3 linked regions of the Xenopus tropicalis genome follow. The protein of the gene in region 3 purifies or fractionates together with the protein of the main gene of each other region. This does not show direct contact. Links are inferred from orthologs where the notes say so. Each region holds a gene or a part of one and is shown on either strand. Other genes may lie near its edges.

The links.
Region 1: the proteins of nelfe (region 3) and nelfa purify together in Homo sapiens (affinity purification with mass spectrometry; 9 studies listed by BioGRID and IntAct, counting the BioPlex papers as one, with this or other methods). This does not show direct contact. The link is inferred for Xenopus tropicalis from reciprocal best matches to the Homo sapiens genes NELFE and NELFA.
Region 2: the proteins of nelfe (region 3) and nelfcd purify together in Homo sapiens (affinity purification with mass spectrometry; 9 studies listed by BioGRID and IntAct, counting the BioPlex papers as one, with this or other methods). This does not show direct contact. The link is inferred for Xenopus tropicalis from reciprocal best matches to the Homo sapiens genes NELFE and NELFCD.

The regions. Positions count from the first base shown.
Region 1 is NC_030677.2:21,139,707-21,146,122, forward strand, and holds the start of nelfa (negative elongation factor A), read right to left. Parts: upstream 3,627-6,416; 5' UTR 3,537-3,626; coding exon 3,327-3,536; intron 1-3,326. UniProt on the Homo sapiens protein: Essential component of the NELF complex, a complex that negatively regulates the elongation of transcription by RNA polymerase II.
Region 2 is NC_030686.2:3,058,439-3,064,838, forward strand, and holds the start of nelfcd (negative elongation factor C/D), read left to right. Parts: upstream 1-2,140; 5' UTR 2,141-2,188; coding exon 2,189-2,254; intron 2,255-2,996; coding exon 2,997-3,109; intron 3,110-3,336; coding exon 3,337-3,446; intron 3,447-4,007; coding exon 4,008-4,117; intron 4,118-4,192; coding exon 4,193-4,300; intron 4,301-4,767; coding exon 4,768-4,920; intron 4,921-5,295; coding exon 5,296-5,426; intron 5,427-6,400. UniProt on the Homo sapiens protein: Essential component of the NELF complex, a complex that negatively regulates the elongation of transcription by RNA polymerase II.
Region 3 is NC_030684.2:74,051,747-74,057,704, forward strand, and holds the end of nelfe (negative elongation factor E), read right to left. Parts: intron 5,914-5,958; coding exon 5,839-5,913; intron 5,751-5,838; coding exon 5,713-5,750; intron 3,535-5,712; coding exon 3,288-3,534; 3' UTR 3,162-3,287; coding exon of another isoform or gene 3,017-3,161; 3' UTR 2,938-3,016; coding exon of another isoform or gene 2,883-2,937; 3' UTR 2,064-2,882; coding exon of another isoform or gene 1,961-2,063; 3' UTR 1,585-1,960; coding exon of another isoform or gene 1,475-1,584; 3' UTR 1,102-1,474; downstream 1-1,101. UniProt on the Homo sapiens protein: Essential component of the NELF complex, a complex that negatively regulates the elongation of transcription by RNA polymerase II.

The sequences.
Region 1 (6,416 bases), on a different chromosome or scaffold from region 3:
GCTTTTAAATGGGGGTCACTGACCTTGGCAGCCAATAAACTATTGCTCTCTGAGGCTACAGTTTTATTATTGTTACTTTTTATAACTTGTTTCTATTCAGACCCCCTCCTATTCATATACCAGTCTCTCAGTCAAACCACTCCCTGGTTGCTAAGGTAATTTGCAACCCTAACAACCAGATAGCTGCTGAACCTATAACCGGGAGAGCTGCTAAAACAAAAAGTTAAATAACTGACAAACTGCAAATAATAAAAAAATGAAGACCAAATTGAGCAAACTGTCTCAGACTATCACTCTTGTTAGTTAAAGAGGTTGTTTTCACCTTTAAGCTAACAATTACGTAGAAAAGTAAACCCATCACCATGACCTATAGGGAACATGACGTACATTCATATGAGCAGTAGTTTAGTGCCAGGGTGACTGTAATGGCAGCTCCATGACCTGAACAGACCGGGGCCCACCTGTAGGAACGTGCACATTGGCTGATACTTCGGCTCCTCGCTGAGCCGCACAGCAGTAAATATTGAATATTTTATTTCCATCTCTCATGCAAAGTGGCACCACGCACGGCTAAACCCAGATGGCCCTGACCCCCTATCCCCCCTCACTAGCTCATTTGCACACAGAGCGCCATTTATACGGCCCGACACCTAACCACATGCACAGAAACTACTTATTGGCGTTTCCTTCCTGACAATATCTCAATCAGCCACCAATTTCCTGTGTATAAATAACTCCTAGCATGGTTTAACCCTTCCAGTGCTGCCCATCATATGATCTATAGAGCTACCGACGCAGCAGGTTTTGCGCTTCCAGCAAGATCAAAGCACTTGTTCCTTAATTTGGGCAATTAGCAAATGGGACTTCAGATTTTAATTTGGGTGGTTGCTATGACTTAACGACCCTAGTAACCAGGAAGCACCCTGGAAGTGAAAATAGAAGCTGAATAGTAGATGGCCCCAAATGACAAATAAGCAGTAAAAACAAAGAATAACATTAAAACTGAAGCCTCACAGTCAATTTTTGGTTTTGTTGCTGGGGGGGCAACTGCAGGTTGGAAAGAGGCAGAATATGCAGGTTAATCATTCCATTAAAAAATAACATCCCCTTAAGAGAAAAATACCTGTTTTAGAGAGGAATTTATTTTATTTTCTATTTTCTACTGCAATCTACACTTTCTTCTCACAGGACACAGCTATGTCATGTGACACATTGTATCTGCAGAGTCAATGAACCCACACATGTACCAATCTGGATGTTTTCAATCAGACAGGACAGAGGCTCCGCTCCTTTTGGCACTGCTGACTATTGCAACAGAAGTCAGCTCTCCTGCAGCCAAGACTCCATTTCCCATAATGCCTTGCAGGCTTCTTAACAGGCTTGCTGATCATGCATGAAAAAAACCAAAGCGTCTCACTGACATTTGGCACCCCCAGTGATTTAGCCTTTACTTCTCCTTTAAGCAAAATAAAATCATGTTCTTACCCATATTGGTGGCAAACCAATCCTATTGGGTTCATATAATAATGAATAAATTACTTTTAGCAGACAAGGTAGATTGATTCAACTTGCCAAACAGGCCCAAAGTACAATATTGCAACCTTTCCTTCCTCAGTTTCATCATGCCCTGGCACATCAGTCCCTCGGGAGGGAAAACACTTTTACAACAACCAATACAAATCATTTAGCCACACAGACCAAAATCAGAGGCATAACCAGGTGTAACTGGGCCCCACAGCAATTTCAGCTTAGGGCCCCCAAACAGGGTCTGCTTCTTCTGGAGGTGATCTGGAGGTTAACTTGCCCTTTAATCATTTTCATGTGCTCAAAAGGAATCTGTAGTGTAGAAAAAGTGCAAGAGGTAACAGGTATGGGACCTGTTATCCAGAATGCTCGGGACCTGCGGTTTTCCAGATAAGGGATCTTTCCATAATTTGGATCTCCATAACTTAAGTCTGCTAAAAATCATTTAAATATTAAATAAACCCAATAGGGCTGTTCTGCCCCCAATAAGGGGTAATTATATCTTAGTTGGGATCAATTACAGGTACTGTTTTATTATTACAGAGAAAAGGGAATCATTTAACCATGAAATAAACCCAATAGGGCTGTTCTGCCCCCAAAAAGGCGTAATTATATCTTAGTTGGGATCAAGTACAGGTACTGTTTTAATTATTACAGAGAAAAAGTAAACCATATTTAAAAATTAGAATTATTTGCTCATAATAGAGTCTGTGGGAAAAGGCCTTTCCATAATTTGGAACTTTCTGGATAAAGGATCCCATACCTGTACATTCATTGTAGTAATACGTAAATATAATGGCTACAGAGAGCAGCATCTGTCCGTCCTTTATATATTCTTTGGTTCTGACTCCTAACACATTGTAGCAGAAGTCAGCTTCTGAACATAATATTAGAAGTCAGAACTGGCAGTGCAGTGATATATACCCCCCAGCTTGTGTCTCAACCCTTTCTCCTTGTAGATTGTAAGCTCTATTTGGGCAGGGCCCTCTTCATCTCTTGTATTGGTTATTGATTGCTTTATATGTTACTCTGTATGTCCAATGAATGAAACCCACTTATTGTACAGCGCTGCGGGATATGTTGGTGCTTTATAAATAAATGTTAATAATAATAATAATCTTTCTATTATCTATCTATCTATTTATCTATCTCTCTTCACCTCTTGTATCGGTTATTGATTGCTTTATATGTTACTCTGTATGTCCAATGTATGGAACCCACTTATTGTACAGCGCTGCGGGATATGTTGGCGCTTTATAAATCAATGTTAATAATAATAATCTTTCTATTATCTATCTATTTATCTATCTCTCTTCCCCTCTTGTATCGGTTACTGATTGCTTTATATGTTACTCTGTATGTCCAATGTATGTAACCCACTTATTGTACAGCGCTGCGGGATATGTTGGCGCTTTATAAATAAATGTTAATAATAATAATAATGATATATAAACAGCCAGACATGCACTGCTTTTATAGGCAATTACTGTTGCAGAGAACTTTTAAAACCCCTAAACCCCTGTAGCCAATACATATTGGAAAGTTTCTTTAAAACTTTTTTATGCCCTTTAAAAAGTGACATTTTGGGTTGATTCGTATCACACCCCCTTTTGCCTCCAGCGATAAAGGTAGTGGAGCAGAGACCAGCTGCCTGCCCCGCAGGGCTCCCCCTCGTTGGAATAATAAACACAACTACTGGACTGCAAAGGCTGCTGGGAAACGTAGTCCTCTGTCAGCCTGTCACTGGGTTCCTTTGCCTGTCACTGTCCCAGCAGAGAAGGGAGTAAGTGTTCGGGACTCACCTCATCCACTGTGCGCCGCGGGAGGTGCAGGATCCCCAGCAGCAGCTTCAGTTTGACGGCGGAGGACAAGTTATGGAAACACAGCCGCACGTTGTCTATGACGGAGGCGGTGAGCAAGGAGGCGATACTCGGGGGCGCCCACAGCTCGTCAGCGGAGCCCAACTTGTTGTGAAGCCACAGGCCGGTGTCACTCTCCCTCATAGACGCCATCTTGGGAAAAAAGAAAAAAGCTCCCGAGCAGGCATTTTATGAAGTCACCTAAAAACACGGCCGTGAGGACCCCTTCTGGCGCTGGTCGGGACTCCTGTCACAGGAAGTCTCGGAGCGTACTATCGCGATACCTGCCCGGAAGGCGGGCTGAGACTCGCTTGTGATTGGTTTAACGTTAAAAAGAGAATGTATAATAAAGGTTCTTAGGTTGCGTAGGATAAGTTAGCCATAGCAACCAAAAAATGTTAGTGTTCAAACAGTTGACCATGAAGTGGGCTGCTCTGAATTTATTCAACAGTGCTGAACTTTATGTCTTTTATTACATAACCGCATTAGTCTGATAATCCCTGCCTTTTGGAGGCTGTTGCTAAAAAGTCTTTCAGCAAATTCCTGTGATATCATGCATGAATGGCAGTGTCCCAGTTGCCTCAAACACACTGTGGGGTACCCAAACAACCCTCAGCACCCCAACTTGCCCAATGCCCACATAATGTATCACTGTTTCTCCCTGCCATCTTGATTGGTCACCAGTGTTCCCACATACAGTCAGGAAGTGCTGAGCTCCCTCTCATTGGGGGTGGGCAGGGCTGTGCTGGGAGCAAGTACTGAGGTGCAAAAAATGGATATCGTAGTATAATAAAGGTTCTTAGGTTGCTTAGGATAAGTTACCCATAGCAACCAAAAATATTTGTATTCAAACAGTTGACCATGAAGTGGGCTGCTCTGAATTTATTCAACAGTGCTGAACTTTATGTCTTTTATTACATAACCACATTAGTCTGATAATCCCTGCCTTTTGAAGGCTGTTGCTAAAAAGTCTTTCAGCAAATTCCTGAGATTTTATGCATGAATGGCAGTGTCCCAGCTCCCTCAAACACACTGTGGGGTACCCAAACAACCCTTAGCACCCCAACTTGCCCAGTGCCCACATAATGTATCACTGTTTCTCCCTGCCATCTTGATTCCTCACTACCTGCGGTGCTGCAGGGTTCCCCAGTGTTCCCACATACAGTCAGGAAGTGCTGAGCTCCCTCTCATTGGGGGTGGGCAGGGCTGTGCTGGGAGCAAGTACTGAGGTGCACAAAATGGATATTGTAGTATAATAAAGGTTCTTAGGTTGCGTAGGATGTTACCCATAGCAACCAAAAATGTTTGTATTCAAACAGTTGACCATGAAGTGGGCTGCTCTGAATTTCTTCAACAGTGCTGAACTTTATGTCTTTTATTACATAACCACATTAGTCTGATAATCCCTGCCTTTTGGAGGCTGTTGCTAAAAAGTCTTTTTAGCAAATTCGAGTAGGGTTTAGCGCCTGGCCGGTAATTTGATCAGCCCAGACAGTAAATCACCAGCTAGGGCCAGGGTACGGAATTACAAATTTACCTGCAATGTAATTGGTGGCAATTAGGGTCGCCACCTTTGCCAGTGGCTAAACCCGAACAAAGGGGGTGGGGCTGATGGTATTGAGGGTGGGGCAGTTGGTGGGGTGGGCATGATGACCTCAGGGTCAGGCACGTTGGGTGGGGTTATGATGCCAGGGTGCGGTTACTGCAACACTTGCAATTGGCTGGAATTCCGTTCAGTTTTTTTAATGGTTCTTATATTTTAAGCTTTTTTTCCTATTAATAACATTGGCATCAGTTGCCACTTGGCAGCTCAATTGACATCCCTAGTTGGCAACTCAATTGGCATCCCTAGTTTTATCTATATTCTACCTGACGAGTAAGTCCCATCCTTTAATTGTATGGGTTCTGTTATACCAGTTATCCAGAAAGCTCTGAAATTTGGTTTTTATTTCTGTAATAATAAGAAATGAATTGAACTTGAATTGAATGTTGATAGAGAAAAAAACCTCAGTATTTAAATGTCCTGGCAGCACAGGTGTCAAGCACCCCAGACTACCAGGAGTCTTTCGAAATAGCTACACAGTGAGCATTACGTGACGTCAGTCACATTGTGCGCAGTCGCAATCACATTGCACATGTCCATACTGGATCAGCGCCATGCTGCGCCCACTAACAGTCCCCTGGGAGATAGTCTGTCAGGGTTGACGGCTCTGATGTATGGGGGCAGCTGGTATAATAGTTCCTATACCTATACAGGTAATTTGGTTCTCATATTTGATGAAGGTTTGCTTAGCATGGTGTCTGAAGGGATTTTGCTTTGCTGAGCCAGGTTGTATTGGTGCCCAAGACAATACTAATTGACTTGGTGCCCTGACAAATATTCCTAGAACACTGTGTGCTCTTTACAGTATATTTGCCAAGTTACACTAACTTTTCTGCAGAAAACTCGTTGATGCGGTCCCCGAACCGACTGCCCCATTGCCGCCCAGGGCCAAACGATCGAATTAGCCTACATGTTCCCCGATATCGCCCACCCGTAGGTGGGTTATCGGGAGAAGATCGCCAAGCGAGCAGATCTTCACGTGTATGGGCACCTTAACCCTTTGCCTGCCAACACCGTACGGCGTACGTGTTGGCAAGGCAATGCACTGAGTGCCAGCGACGTACCTTGTACGTCTTCCTGCTTCTGGCCATGTGGATACTGATCGGCGGCTTCTTCCTCTTTCAAAAGCCGCCGATCGCTGCAGGATCCCCTAGGCAACGAGCGCTGGGGGCTGGAAGTGACGCTGTTGCGTCAGATGACCCCAAGAAGGACCCCAGAGCAGCGGCTACGTCATAGACATGTGCCTGCTGCTGGGGTATTTAAACTCAGCCCCCCAGCGCCGCCCTCTGCCTCTCTGCTGGTCCTGGATGTTGCTGGAGCCCTCCTGCTGTGTGCTGCTGTTCTCCTGCGGTCCTTGGCTGTGAGATTTGCTGTGCCTGCCCTCGGGTAGTCCCTTTGCTTTTACATTACACACTTACTACTCACTTACT
Region 2 (6,400 bases), on a different chromosome or scaffold from region 3:
GCAATAACCCCCATGCAGTCTATAACGTTCCCCTCCCCAGCAAGAGATGCGCAGGGAGCAATAACCCCCATGCAGTCTATAACATTCCCCTCCCCAGCAAGAGATGCGCAGGGAGCAATAACCCCCATGCAGTCTATAACATTCCCCTCCCCAGCAAGAGATGTGCAGGGAGCAATAACCCCCATGCAGTCTATAACGTTCCCCTCCCCAGCAAGAGATGCGCAGGGCAGGGAGCAATAACCCCCATGCAGTCTATAACATTCCCCTCCCCAGCAAGAGATGCGCAGGGAGCAATAACCCCCATGCAGTCTATAACATTCCCCTCCCCAGCAAGAGATGTGCAGGGAGCAATAACCCCCATGCAGTCTATAACGTTCCCCTCCCCAGCAAGAGATGCGCAGGTCAGGGAGCAATAACCCCCATGCAGTCTATAACATTCCCCTCCCCAGCAAGAGATGCGCAGGGAGCAATAACCCCCATGCAGTCTATAACATTCCCCTCCCCAGCAAGAGATGCGCAGGGAGCAATAACCCCCATGCAGTCTATAACATTCCCCTCCCCAGCAAGAGATGCGCAGAGAGCAATAACCCCCATGCAGTCTATAACGTTCCCCTCCCCAGCAAGAGATGCGCAGGGCAGGGAGCAATAACCCCCATGCAGTCTATAACATTCCCCTCCCCAGCAAGAGATGCGCAGGGAGCAATAACCCCCATGCAGTCTATAACATTCCCCTCCCCAGCAAGAGATGTGCAGGGAGCAATAACCCCCATGCAGTCTATAACGTTCCCCTCCCCAGCAAGAGATGCGCAGGGCAGGGAGCAATAACCCCCATGCAGTCTATAACATTCCCCTCCCCAGCAAGAGATGCGCAGGGAGCAATAACCCCCATGCAGTCTATAACATTCCCCTCCCCAGCAAGAGATGCGCAGGGAGCAATAACCCCCATGCAGTCTATAACATTCCCCTCCCCAGCAAGAGATGCGCAGAGAGCAATAACCCCCATGCAGTCTATAACATTCCCCTCCCCAGCAAGAGATGCGCAGGGAGCAATAACCCCCATGCAGTCTATAACATTCCCCTCCCCAGCAAGAGATGTGCAGGGAGCAATAACCCCCATGCAGTCTATAACGTTCCCCTCCCCAGCAAGAGATGCGCAGGTCAGGGAGCAATAACCCCCATGCAGTCTATAACATTCCCCTCCCCAGCAAGAGATGCGCAGGGAGCAATAACCCCCATGCAGTCTATAACATTCCCCTCCCCAGCAAGAGATGCGCAGGGAGCAATAACCCCCATGCAGTCTATAACATTCCCCTCCCCAGCAAGAGATGCGCAGGGAGCAATAACCCCCATGCAGTCTATAACATTCCCCTCCCCAGCAAGAGATGCGCAGAGAGCAATAACCCCCATGCAGTCTATAACATTCCCCTCCCCAGCAAGAGATGTGCAGAGAGCAATAACCCCCATGCAGTCTATAACATTCCCCTCCCCAGCAAGAGATGCGCAGGGAGCAATAACCCCCATGCAGTCTATAACATTCCCCTCCCCAGCAAGAGATGCGCAGGGAGCAATAACCCCCATGCAGTCTATAACATTCCCCTCCCCAGCAAGAGATGCGCAGAGAGCAATAACCCCCATGCAGTCTATAACATTCCCCTCCCCAGCAAGAGATGCGCAGGTCAGGGAGCAATAACCCCCATGCAGTCTATAACATTCCCCTCCCCAGCAAGAGATGCGCAGGTCAGGAAGCAATAACCCCCATGCAGTCTATAACATTCCCCTCCCCAGCAAGAGATGCGCAGGGAGCAATAACCCCCATGCAGTCTATAACATTCCCCTCCCCAGCAAGAGATGCGCAGGGAGCAATAACCCCCATGCAGTCTATAACATTCCCCTCCCCAGCAAGAGATGCGCAGAGAGCAATAACCCCCATGCAGTCTATAACATTCCCCTCCCCAGCAAGAGATGCGCAGAGAGCAATAACCCCCATGCAGTCTATAACACTGTATCACAGAACCATCCCGGTGCCCCAGTCCCTTACTGTCACTGCCTGCATTCTACTCTATGGCCGCCAGGGGCGCACGGTTACCAGTTTGACAGAACACAGGAAGTACGTCATCCACCTGCGCCGGGCGCGACAGAAGGAAAAGCAAAGCGCTCCCGGGAGTTTGGGACCCGGATACCGGGCGGGATGGACGCGGAGTTTTTCATGGGGGGGGCGGGAGGGATTATTGGGGACTGGGAGGACAGGGGAATGGTACGTACTGGGGTTACTGGGAGAGGCGCTGGGTGAGGGGCAGAGAGACGGGAATGAGAGACATATTGGGGGCAGATATTTTGGGGAGAAACGGGGGGGGCGGGATACAGGGATTGGGCACCGGCAGGGGGAGAGGGAGGGGGTTTTAGGGGGGCTTCAGAGTTGAGGTTAGGCTGGGGTTGGGGTACATATATATTGGGGTTGGGGTACATATATATTGGGGGGGAGGCAGGACAGGGGTTGGGGTACATATATATTGGGGTTGGGGTACATATATATTGGGGGGAGGCAGGCTGGGGTTGGGGTACATATATATTGGGGTTGGGGTACATATATATTGGGGGGGAGGCAGGACAGGGGTTGGGGTACATATATATTGGGGTTGGGGTACATATATATTGGGGTTGGGGTACATATATATTGGGGGGGAGGCAGGACAGGGGTTGGGGTACATATATATTGGGGCTGGGGTACATATATATTGGGGTTGGGGTACATATATATTGGGGGGGAGGCAGGACAGGGGTTGGGGTACATATATATAGGGGTACATATATATTGGGGCTGGGGTACATACTGTATATACTGGGGTACATATATATTGGGGCTGGGGTACATATATATAGGGGTACATATATATATTGGGGCTGGGGTACATACTGTATATACTGGGGTACATATATATTGGGGTACATATAATGGGGTTGGGCGCAGTTCTCACACAGAATTCTTGCCGTTCCAGGATGAAGACTATGGGGAAGGGGAGGATGATGGGGAGGTGCAACAGGAGTGTTTGCGGAAATTCACCACCCGGGATTATATCATGGAACCTGCTGTTTTCAACACACTGAAGAGGTGAGAGGCGCAGGGGCCCCCCAGGCTTCTGTGAGGAATGGGGGGGGGGGGGACAGAACCAAAGGGCAGAGGACAGGGAGCCGGGATGGGAATACACAGGGGGGAGTAGAGCCCAGAGGGTGGGGGAACCCAGAACAACTCCCAGATTGTCAGTGGGGTGGTGGGAGTTGCAGTTCACACAGCCTGAAACCCTCCTGTTACATTAAGTTGTTGCGTGTGAATTCCAGGTACTTCCAGTCGGGGGGGTCCCCAGAAAATGTCATCCAGCTCCTGTCGGAGAATTACAGCGCCGTGGCGCAGACTGTGAATCTGCTGGCGGAATGGCTCATCCACTCGGGTACAGACATTTATTTATTCCGACCCCCCTACTCGTAATTCCAGCCTCTCGTTCATACTGACTTGTTACTATTTCTAGCATCTTTGCAATTGGTCTTCATTTTTTATTTTATTTTTATAGTTATAGAATTATTTGCCTTCATTTCCAGCTATCAAATGGGGGTCACTGACCCCGGCAACCTGAATACTCTCTGCTCTGTGAGGCTCCAGTTTTATTGTTATTATTACTTTTTGTAACTTTATTTTCTAGTCAGTCCCTCTCCTATTCATATACGAGTCTCTTATCCAAACCTCTCCCTGGTTGCTAAGTTAAACACAACCCTAGCGACCAAATAGCTGCTGAAACATGAGTCCTGAATTGAAAATGAAATAACTAAAAAACTACAAATAATAAAAAATTGCAATTGCAAATTGTCTCAGAATATTCAATATACGTCCTTGCCACCCTTGGCCGGGTTAGTTTCCATCAAAGGAAACTGTAGGAATGGCACTGGTGAGTATTCTGGATAAGGGGTGAGCTTTGTGTGTATCCCCCCAAATACCTGTGTGTGATTGGCTGCAGGTGTGGAGCCCGCGCAGGTACAAGAGACGGTGGAAAACCATCTGAAGAGTTTACTGATCAAACACTTCGACCCAAGGAAAGCCGACTCCATCTTTACAGAGGAAGGAGAGGTAACAGGGATGTTCCGCGGGTTGGGGGGGCTAGAGAGTAGATTTGGGGGTACATTCTTTGCTCATTGTGCGCAGACGCCGGCCTGGCTGGAGCAGATGATCGCCCACACCACATGGAGAGATCTGTTCTACAAACTGGCAGAGGCCCATCCCGACTGCCTGATGCTGAACTTCACTGTCAAGGTGGGTACATACGGCTGGGCCCCCCCAGTCACCCCGAGTCTGAGCAACTCCTACTGCGCAGCCTTTGTGTATGAGATCTCCCAAGCCCTTTATTATAGGGGTGGTTCCCCTTTAAGATAACGTTTAGTATGTTATAGAATGACCTGTTCCTAGCAGCTTTGCAATTGGTCTTCATTATTTATTTTTTATAGTTATTGAATTATTTGCCTTCATTGTGCAGCTTTCACACAGGGGTCGCTGACCCCGGCAGCCAAAACCTATTGCTCCAGTTTTATTGTTATTGTTACTTTTTATCCCATATCTTTCTATTCAGCCCCTCCCCTATTTATATTCCAGTGTCTCATTCACACCACTGCCTAGTTGCTAAGGTAAACATGACCCTAGCAACCAGATAGCTGCTGAAAGTCCTTCTCTGGACCCTCAAAACTGTGCTTTGTGCTTCACATATTTTTTTTCCCATTTTGCAGCTGATCTCGGATGCCGGGTACCAGGGGGAAATCACCAGCGTCTCCACGGCGTGCCAGCAGCTGGAAGTCTTCTCCAGGGTCCTCCGTACTTCCCTGGCAACGATCCTGGATGGGGGAGAAGAGAACTTGGAGAAAAACCTCCCCGAATTCGCAGTACATACGTTTAAACCATTTGCGCCACATGGGGGGGGGGGGTGCTGCGCAGATGTAACGTGTGTTACGTGTGTTACGTGTGTTACGTGTGTAACGTGTGTAACGTGTGTTACGTGTGTAACCTGTGTAACCTGTGTAACGTGTGTAACCTGTGTAACCTGTGTTACGTGTGTAACCTGTGTAACGTGTGTAACGTGTGTAACGTGTGTAACCTGTGTAACGTGTGTAACGTGTGTAACGTGTGTTACGTGTGTTACGTGTGTAACCTGTGTAACGTGTGTAACGTGTGTAACGTGTGTAACGTGTGTAACGTGTGTAACGTGTGTAACGTGTGTAACGTGTGTAACGTGTGTAACGTGTTTCTGTGCCCCGCAGAAGATGGTGTGTCACGGAGAGCACACGTACTTGTTCGCTCAGGCCATCATGTCCATCCTGTCGCAGGAGGAGCAGGGGGGGTCGGCCATGAGAAGGATCGCACAAGAGGTCCAGAGATTTGCACATGAAAAGTAAGAGCAATGAGTGCATCCCCTGCTGCCCAATGAAAGGCCATTTATATAACGGGGTACAGCAAGAAAAGGGGGAACTTGTGCTCCCCACTAAACTATAAACCAGTAGGTGGGGGGGCAATGAGGCTGTGACCACAGAATTAATATAAACAACAACAAGAGCCCCTCTGCCCTCCCCCATTATCAATATATATAGGGCATTAACCCATTCTGTGCATTAAGCTGCCGAGAAATGCCCTCCCCTTTATACAGGGATTGTTTGTCCTTATATTGTAATATATTCCAGCTGCCCAACTGGGTCACACTCACCTCCAGTCTGGCCTGTCCTACACTCACTCACCCCCGGTCTGGCCTGTCCTACACTCACTCACCCCCGGTCTGGCCTGTCCTACACTCACTCACCCCCGGTCTGGCCTACACTCACTCACCCCCGGTCTGGCCTGTCCTACACTCACTCACCCCCGGTCTGGCCTGTCCTACACTCACTCACCCCCGGTCTGGCCAGTCCTACACTCACTCACCCCCGGTCTGGCCTACACTCACATCACCCCCCAGTCTGGCCAGTCCTACACTCACTCACCCCCGGTCTGGCCTGTCCTACACTCACTCACCCCGGTCTGGCCTACACTCACTCCACCCCCGCGTCTGGCCCTGTCCCACACTCACTCACCCCGGTCTTGGCCTACCTCACATCCACCCCCGGTCTGGCCTGTCCTACACTCACTACCCCCGGTTCCTGGCCTGTCCTACAGCTCACTCACCCCCGGTCTGGCCTGTCCTACACTCAACTCACGGCCCCGGTCTGGCCTGTCCCTACACTCACTGCACCGCGCCGGTCTGGCCAGTCCTAACACTCACCACCCCCGGTTGGGCTGTCCCCTCCTCCCGTCTGGCCTACACTCACTCACCCGGCTGGCTGTCCTACACTCACTCCCCGGTCTGGCCAGTCCTACACTCACTCACCCCCGGTCTGG
Region 3 (5,958 bases):
ATTTTCTGCCTTTGTTCTTTCTTCTGCATAAGTTAACTCACATATGCATTCAGAATGCAGATGCAATCTTTTTATATACAGCAACTTGTTGTTTCATTATATTGTTGTCCTCAGTAAAATCACAGTTTATTCTAAGAAGTAGTGGTCCAATGCTTTCCTTCTTTAACCCAGAAATACCCAACCCACAACAAACATAAAGGAATGACCTCTAGTCTTAGAGGAACAATATACAATCTTTTTGTGACTGGGAAATGCCTGAAAGGTTTTGTAAAATCCCATCCTTCAAATCTGTACAAAGTAGAACCATTTGCAAAATAATAGTTGTCCATGGCTAAAAGCAGGGATCCCCAACCTTTCTTACTCGTGAGCCACAGTCGAATGTAAAAAGACTTGGAGAGCAACACAAGCACCATAAAAGTTCATGGAGGTGCCAAATAAGGGCTGTGATTGGCTATTAGGGAGCCTCTATGCAGTCTATCAGCTTACAGGGGCTTTATTTGGTAGGAAATCTTGTTTTTATTCAACCAAAACTTGCCCCCAAGTCAGGAATTCAAAAATAACTCCCTGGTTTGGGGGCACTGAGAGCAACATCCAAGGGGTTGGGGAGCAACATGTTGCCCCCGAGCCACTGGTTGGGGATCACTGGCTAAAAGTATTGTCCATGGCAGAAAGTATTGTGTGCCAAATAATGGGAAAAAGCCTAGTGTGATATTAGTCTTATTTCCGCATTCTTGGCCAAAGATGTATAATCCTTTAAAGGTCAATAGCACAAGCGCAGCTTATGTAGACAAGGTCATTTCTGCCTGAATTATGCCTGTCAAAGGACCCTTCTCCTCAGCAGCTTTTCCAATTTGGCAAGTTGGAAACATTCTAAGTCATGCTGCAGTGCTGCTGAGACAGCAGAAGAGCTCATACTTATATGTTCTTAAGTGATAAACCACATCTGAAAAATATAGTTGAGTGTGTGAGTTTTTCTAGCAAGTCTCCAGTTTGAAATGGAAAGTGTTATATTAAGGTTGTCTATAATTTAGGCTGTTACATGTGACAAAACATATACCATTACTGTGATACTCAAGAAATAACTTGGGTCCCAATACCTCCTGTTGTACCTTATACAAGTAATTTTATTTACCTTCCTTGTGTCTATTGGCATACTCTATGCATGCTGAGATGGTAAATGTGCCCAAAACAACTGAGATAAAGCCAATTAGTAGAAAGTAGTCACTAAATCATTATTACAGGAATGTAGAGTACATATTTAAAGGGACAATGCAAACAGTAACCTACATATCCACAAATAACTGAAAAGCCATTTTAAATTATAGTTAAAAAAAAAAAATCTTGGGCATAGCATATAAGCACAGTCTTGTTTCTTTAAATAGTCAACGGTCACTTTATTTACCATCCTCAACCATGTGTACCATGTACACATAGAGATCTTGGGCCCTAATATTCTCTTTCTCCTCGCTTCTCTTTATCCTGGCTTTTTATCAGCATCAGTTTGACCATCGCTAAATAAATCTTCAGAGTAATTGACCTGAGACCTCTTATCTCTGTGTGAACCTTTAACACTGTTCTGTACAGCTGTGAAGGAAAAGAAAAACAGAAGATAAATCTGTGACATTTTACTATATAATGTTAAGTACCAATCCAGGGCAGAAGGGGACAGTTTTCTTATTGGTTAAGTCTTCTTTGTTTTGCCTGTGCTGTCAGAGCACCCATGTGGTTGCACTATTAACTTCTGAATTGCCCTTTAGTGTAAATAGGCAGTCCACATTCCACCTCCACCGGGTGCTACAGGTTTGCAGAGATTCTTGCCTTCTACAGCTTGCCTTGTAAAAGCAATATCATGCTGGTACTGTCCCTTTCACCAGCAGTCCATAATGTAGCTCTGCAGCCTTATGACTATATTTGTAGAGAAATTGCAAGAGAAACATTTACATATAAAGTTACAACTTACCCAATGAACCCCAAACTGATTTTCCTGTGGCTGCCTCCAACATAGGCTGTTTGCGAGCTATGCTAACCTTCACTGGTATGTCTTCTATCACCTTGTTATTAAGCTGAATTAGAAGAAGAAGAATTCAGTTCAGACGTGAGAACAAATTTTACAGAGGTTCAAGGAATTTGACCCAATAGGGGCATGAGGTTAAACTTCTCAAAGTATAGCTGTTTGATATACTTTTAAAAGAAAAGTAACACCAAAAAATGAAAGTGTATCAAAATAATTATTATATTATGTACTATTTCCCTGCACTGGTAAAAGTAGTGTGTTTGTTTCAGAAAAACTACTATAGTTTATATAAATAAGCTGCTGTGTAGCCATGGGAGCAGCCATTCAAAAGGAGAAAGGGCACAGGTTACATAGCAGATAACAGATAAACTCAGTAGAATACAATGGTGTCTTATCTGTTATAAAAACTGTGCCTTTTCTCCTTTTTTCCAGCTTGAATGGCTGCCCCTGTAGCTACACAGCAGGGTATTTATATAAAATATAATAGTGTTGCTAAAGCAAACACACCAGTTTAGGTAACAGTAAATTATATTTTAATTACTTTAAGACATTTAAATTTTTTGGTGTTACTGTTCCTTTAAGGCCTCCAACACTTATCATAGCAAACAATCAAGCAGATAATTATAGCAAACATTTAGTGAAGCATACAACACTGCATAGCACAGTTTTAGAAGCCTTGCTGTTTAAATAAAGAGCCCAATCTTTATTTTCTAAAAATCTGAGAAAACAAAAACGGCTTAAAAAAAAACAACAAAATCCCATTTTTTCAGTTCTATGTGTTTAATACTCCAAAGTGACAATGACAAAGAATAGCAGTATCAAATGGAATAAAGGAGGCAGTAAAAGGAAACCATGCAGCAAAACTCACCTCTGAAATAGCCTGGTCAGCTGACTCCATCTTCTCATATGTAACAAAAGCACAGCTGGGAATAAAAGGCCCCCAAAATTAAAAGGTTGCCAGCCTAAAAGCACACTAGTAAGGTCCATACAGTGCCTACTTACTTCCTTGGAGCATCCACAGAAAGATCAATAATGTTCCCAAAGCTGGAAAAAGCCTCACGAAGCATTGTCTGGTTCATGCCCACACCATGAACATAAACAGTATTACCTTTCCTTGGAGCCCGACGTTCAGGGAATGAATCTGATCCTACAGGATGCATGACAAAGGCACTGGTTAAATCATTAGTAAATGAAGACCTGGTAAGGAAGTTAGGCAAAGGGAAGCTAAGATGAATAGCAGAGCTATAATTCCAGCCCTCTGCTTCAGTAAAAATCAAAAAAGTGGCAAATTACTGCGGTAAAAGCCATCTCTGTCCCTTTCACGATCTCTTTCGCGGTCTCTCTCACTTCGGTCTCTATCTCGTTCTCTGTCCCGGTCACGATCTCGCTCTCTTCCACGATCTCTATCATAAGGTTCTCTCTCTAAAAGTTCCCTCTCTCCTCGACGAGTATCCCTCTCACTCTCTCGTTCCTCGCTTTCTCTCTCAGGATCTCTCATTCGCTCACTCGGGCTGACAAAACTAGAATGAGGGGGGAAAAAAATTAGGAAGGAAAAGGTACAAAAGAAGTACATAAGAAAATAAATCTGGATTAAAAGATTTACTCATTCTAATGAGCCAAATTTCTAAATAGTTATACACAGTTCAACACACTAGAGAAAATTATTGTGCTATCTCTACTAATTAGTGTAGAATAACACAGAAGTAGTTTATAAAAATATATACATCTTTACTCTGTACTTTGTTCTCTTTTTCTAATACTGAAGTTTAAACTTTCCTGTCTCTCTCTCTCTCTCTCTGGTGTTTAAAGGACACCTACCCCCCTTAAATTGTTACCCCACCAAAGGTGTAGGCTAATAGAGCCTGCACTCTGATTAAGAGAAACAATAGCTGCTGGCAGCCATGTTGTGGCATTCGCACGTGCATAATGAGTGGATGCCAAAACTCGCAACTCATGTGTGACGTAGGAGGGTGAATCACATCCACCAATCCTACATCAGGCAAAAGCGCATAATGAGTGAGTGGGGAGACATACTCATTATGTGCATGCGCAGCAGACGATGCGGCCACCCACTCTGGAAGCTCCCTCTCAGTGTGGGCAGCCTAGCAATGGCGGGGGCTGTATTTTAAAAAAAAAAAAAAAAAAAAAAAGGAAAACATTGGTTTCCCCAACCAAAATGCTGGGCCTATTAGCCTGCACCTCTGATGGGGGAACCAATTACAGGGTGATAGGTTAAGTCTAGAAGCTCAGTAATCCAGGTGCATACTTTGAACTGTTAGCAATTGCTATGTTAGTAACTAATTACTATATTAGTTCATACATCAGCATCTGTAGAATATTAGCAACTATTGTATCAATTAATAAATCTGAGGGACTATTCTCAGCAGGACAAAAAATAAGAAAATGTATCAACTCATGTATCAAATTAGAAGTTTATAGTATCTCATCCTCGCCAGAGCTGCATCCAACGTTGGCACAAGGAGGCATCCAACGTTGGCACAAGTCAATAACAATCAGTATCTAGTAGAATTAAGTCTAAAACAACTGGACTTTTTCTAAGTTTTTTCACAAACTCATCCGAGTGGTTTAGTTCAATTGACTGGTTGGGAATTCCCCAGCATTTAAACCCTAGAGAATCCAATCATAATGGTTCCATTGAACTTCAGTTAAGTGTTGGCTGAAACTCACAGGTGTAAGAAGGTATGATCCAGTTACAATGGTATCATGATTCTCATTGATGCAGGTTTTAATCCTTCAAAGTACATGACTGGAAGTGTGAACTGTTGTGAAACTGCCGGGGTAAGGATGTCAAAGCGATATTGTATGTTGATGACAATTGGTGTTGCAGGTCCCCTCCTCTGTTCAGGGATGGTTTTTCCAGGCTAGCATAAATGGCCTCTTTCAAACCATCTGTCCTCTCATTCCAAAATATGCACTTTACTAGTGCTGAGTCTTGACCTGAGTAGTTAGCCCTCCTATGTTGGGCCATTCCCTTACAGAGAGGTTGTTTTGTCTCCCCAATGTATAAATCAGAGCACTCTTCATTCACTACACTGGACAGCATAGAACACATTACTTTTCATGTGCTTTGGTGTAGGGTCTTCAGAGTGCACCAACTTTAAGTGTTGCTGGGTTTGAAATACACAGGAATGTGAGGTTTGTTGAAAATTCTCCTAAGTTTTTCTGATGTTCCAGAAACATATGGGCTGACTATATTGCTTCACCTGCTGTGTTCCTCCCTTCTGTTTGCTGGTCTGGTCTTTTTGCTTGTCTTTAATTTAGGTTTGATAAAGGCCCAGTCAAGTTTTCAGTGCTCCTTTTAGATGTTTGTATTCCTTCTCTTTAGCCTCTGCATAGGATGCCACATTTTCAGCCCAATGATGTAGAGTCCTAATAACACCCAGTTTATGTTCCAAAGGGTAGTGGGAATCAAACAGCAAGTACTGATCTTTGTGGGTGGATTTTCTGTATACGTCAATATCCAGGTCCCCCTCTTTGATAACTATTGCACAGTCCAATATTCCCTACCAGTCATTTGAACTAAAGAAGCCACTCGGAACAAAGTCAGAAAAAGTCCAACTGTTTTAGACTTTATTCTACTAGATACTGTATATCATGACCTGGATGAATGAAAAGATTCATAGACAAGTGAATGACAAGTGTGTAAATATGCTGTGAAACATGAATTTTCTTGTTACCTTTCATAGAGTGATTTTCTCTGAGACCTTCTGGAACTCTGTATAAGAAATGAGGAATTTATTATTTAATGTGCTACACCATGTAACTCTCAATAAATTCTTCCATTTTATTTGTGGCCCAGTTACCTCTGCCTGTTCCTCATCCACAGAAACGCTACGTTGGAAAGGCTGGAAGCTTGGAACAGGTCCCTTATCAGGGTCCTGAATAAATATAAGGGGAAAAAAACATTGGTTGTTACAAAATGT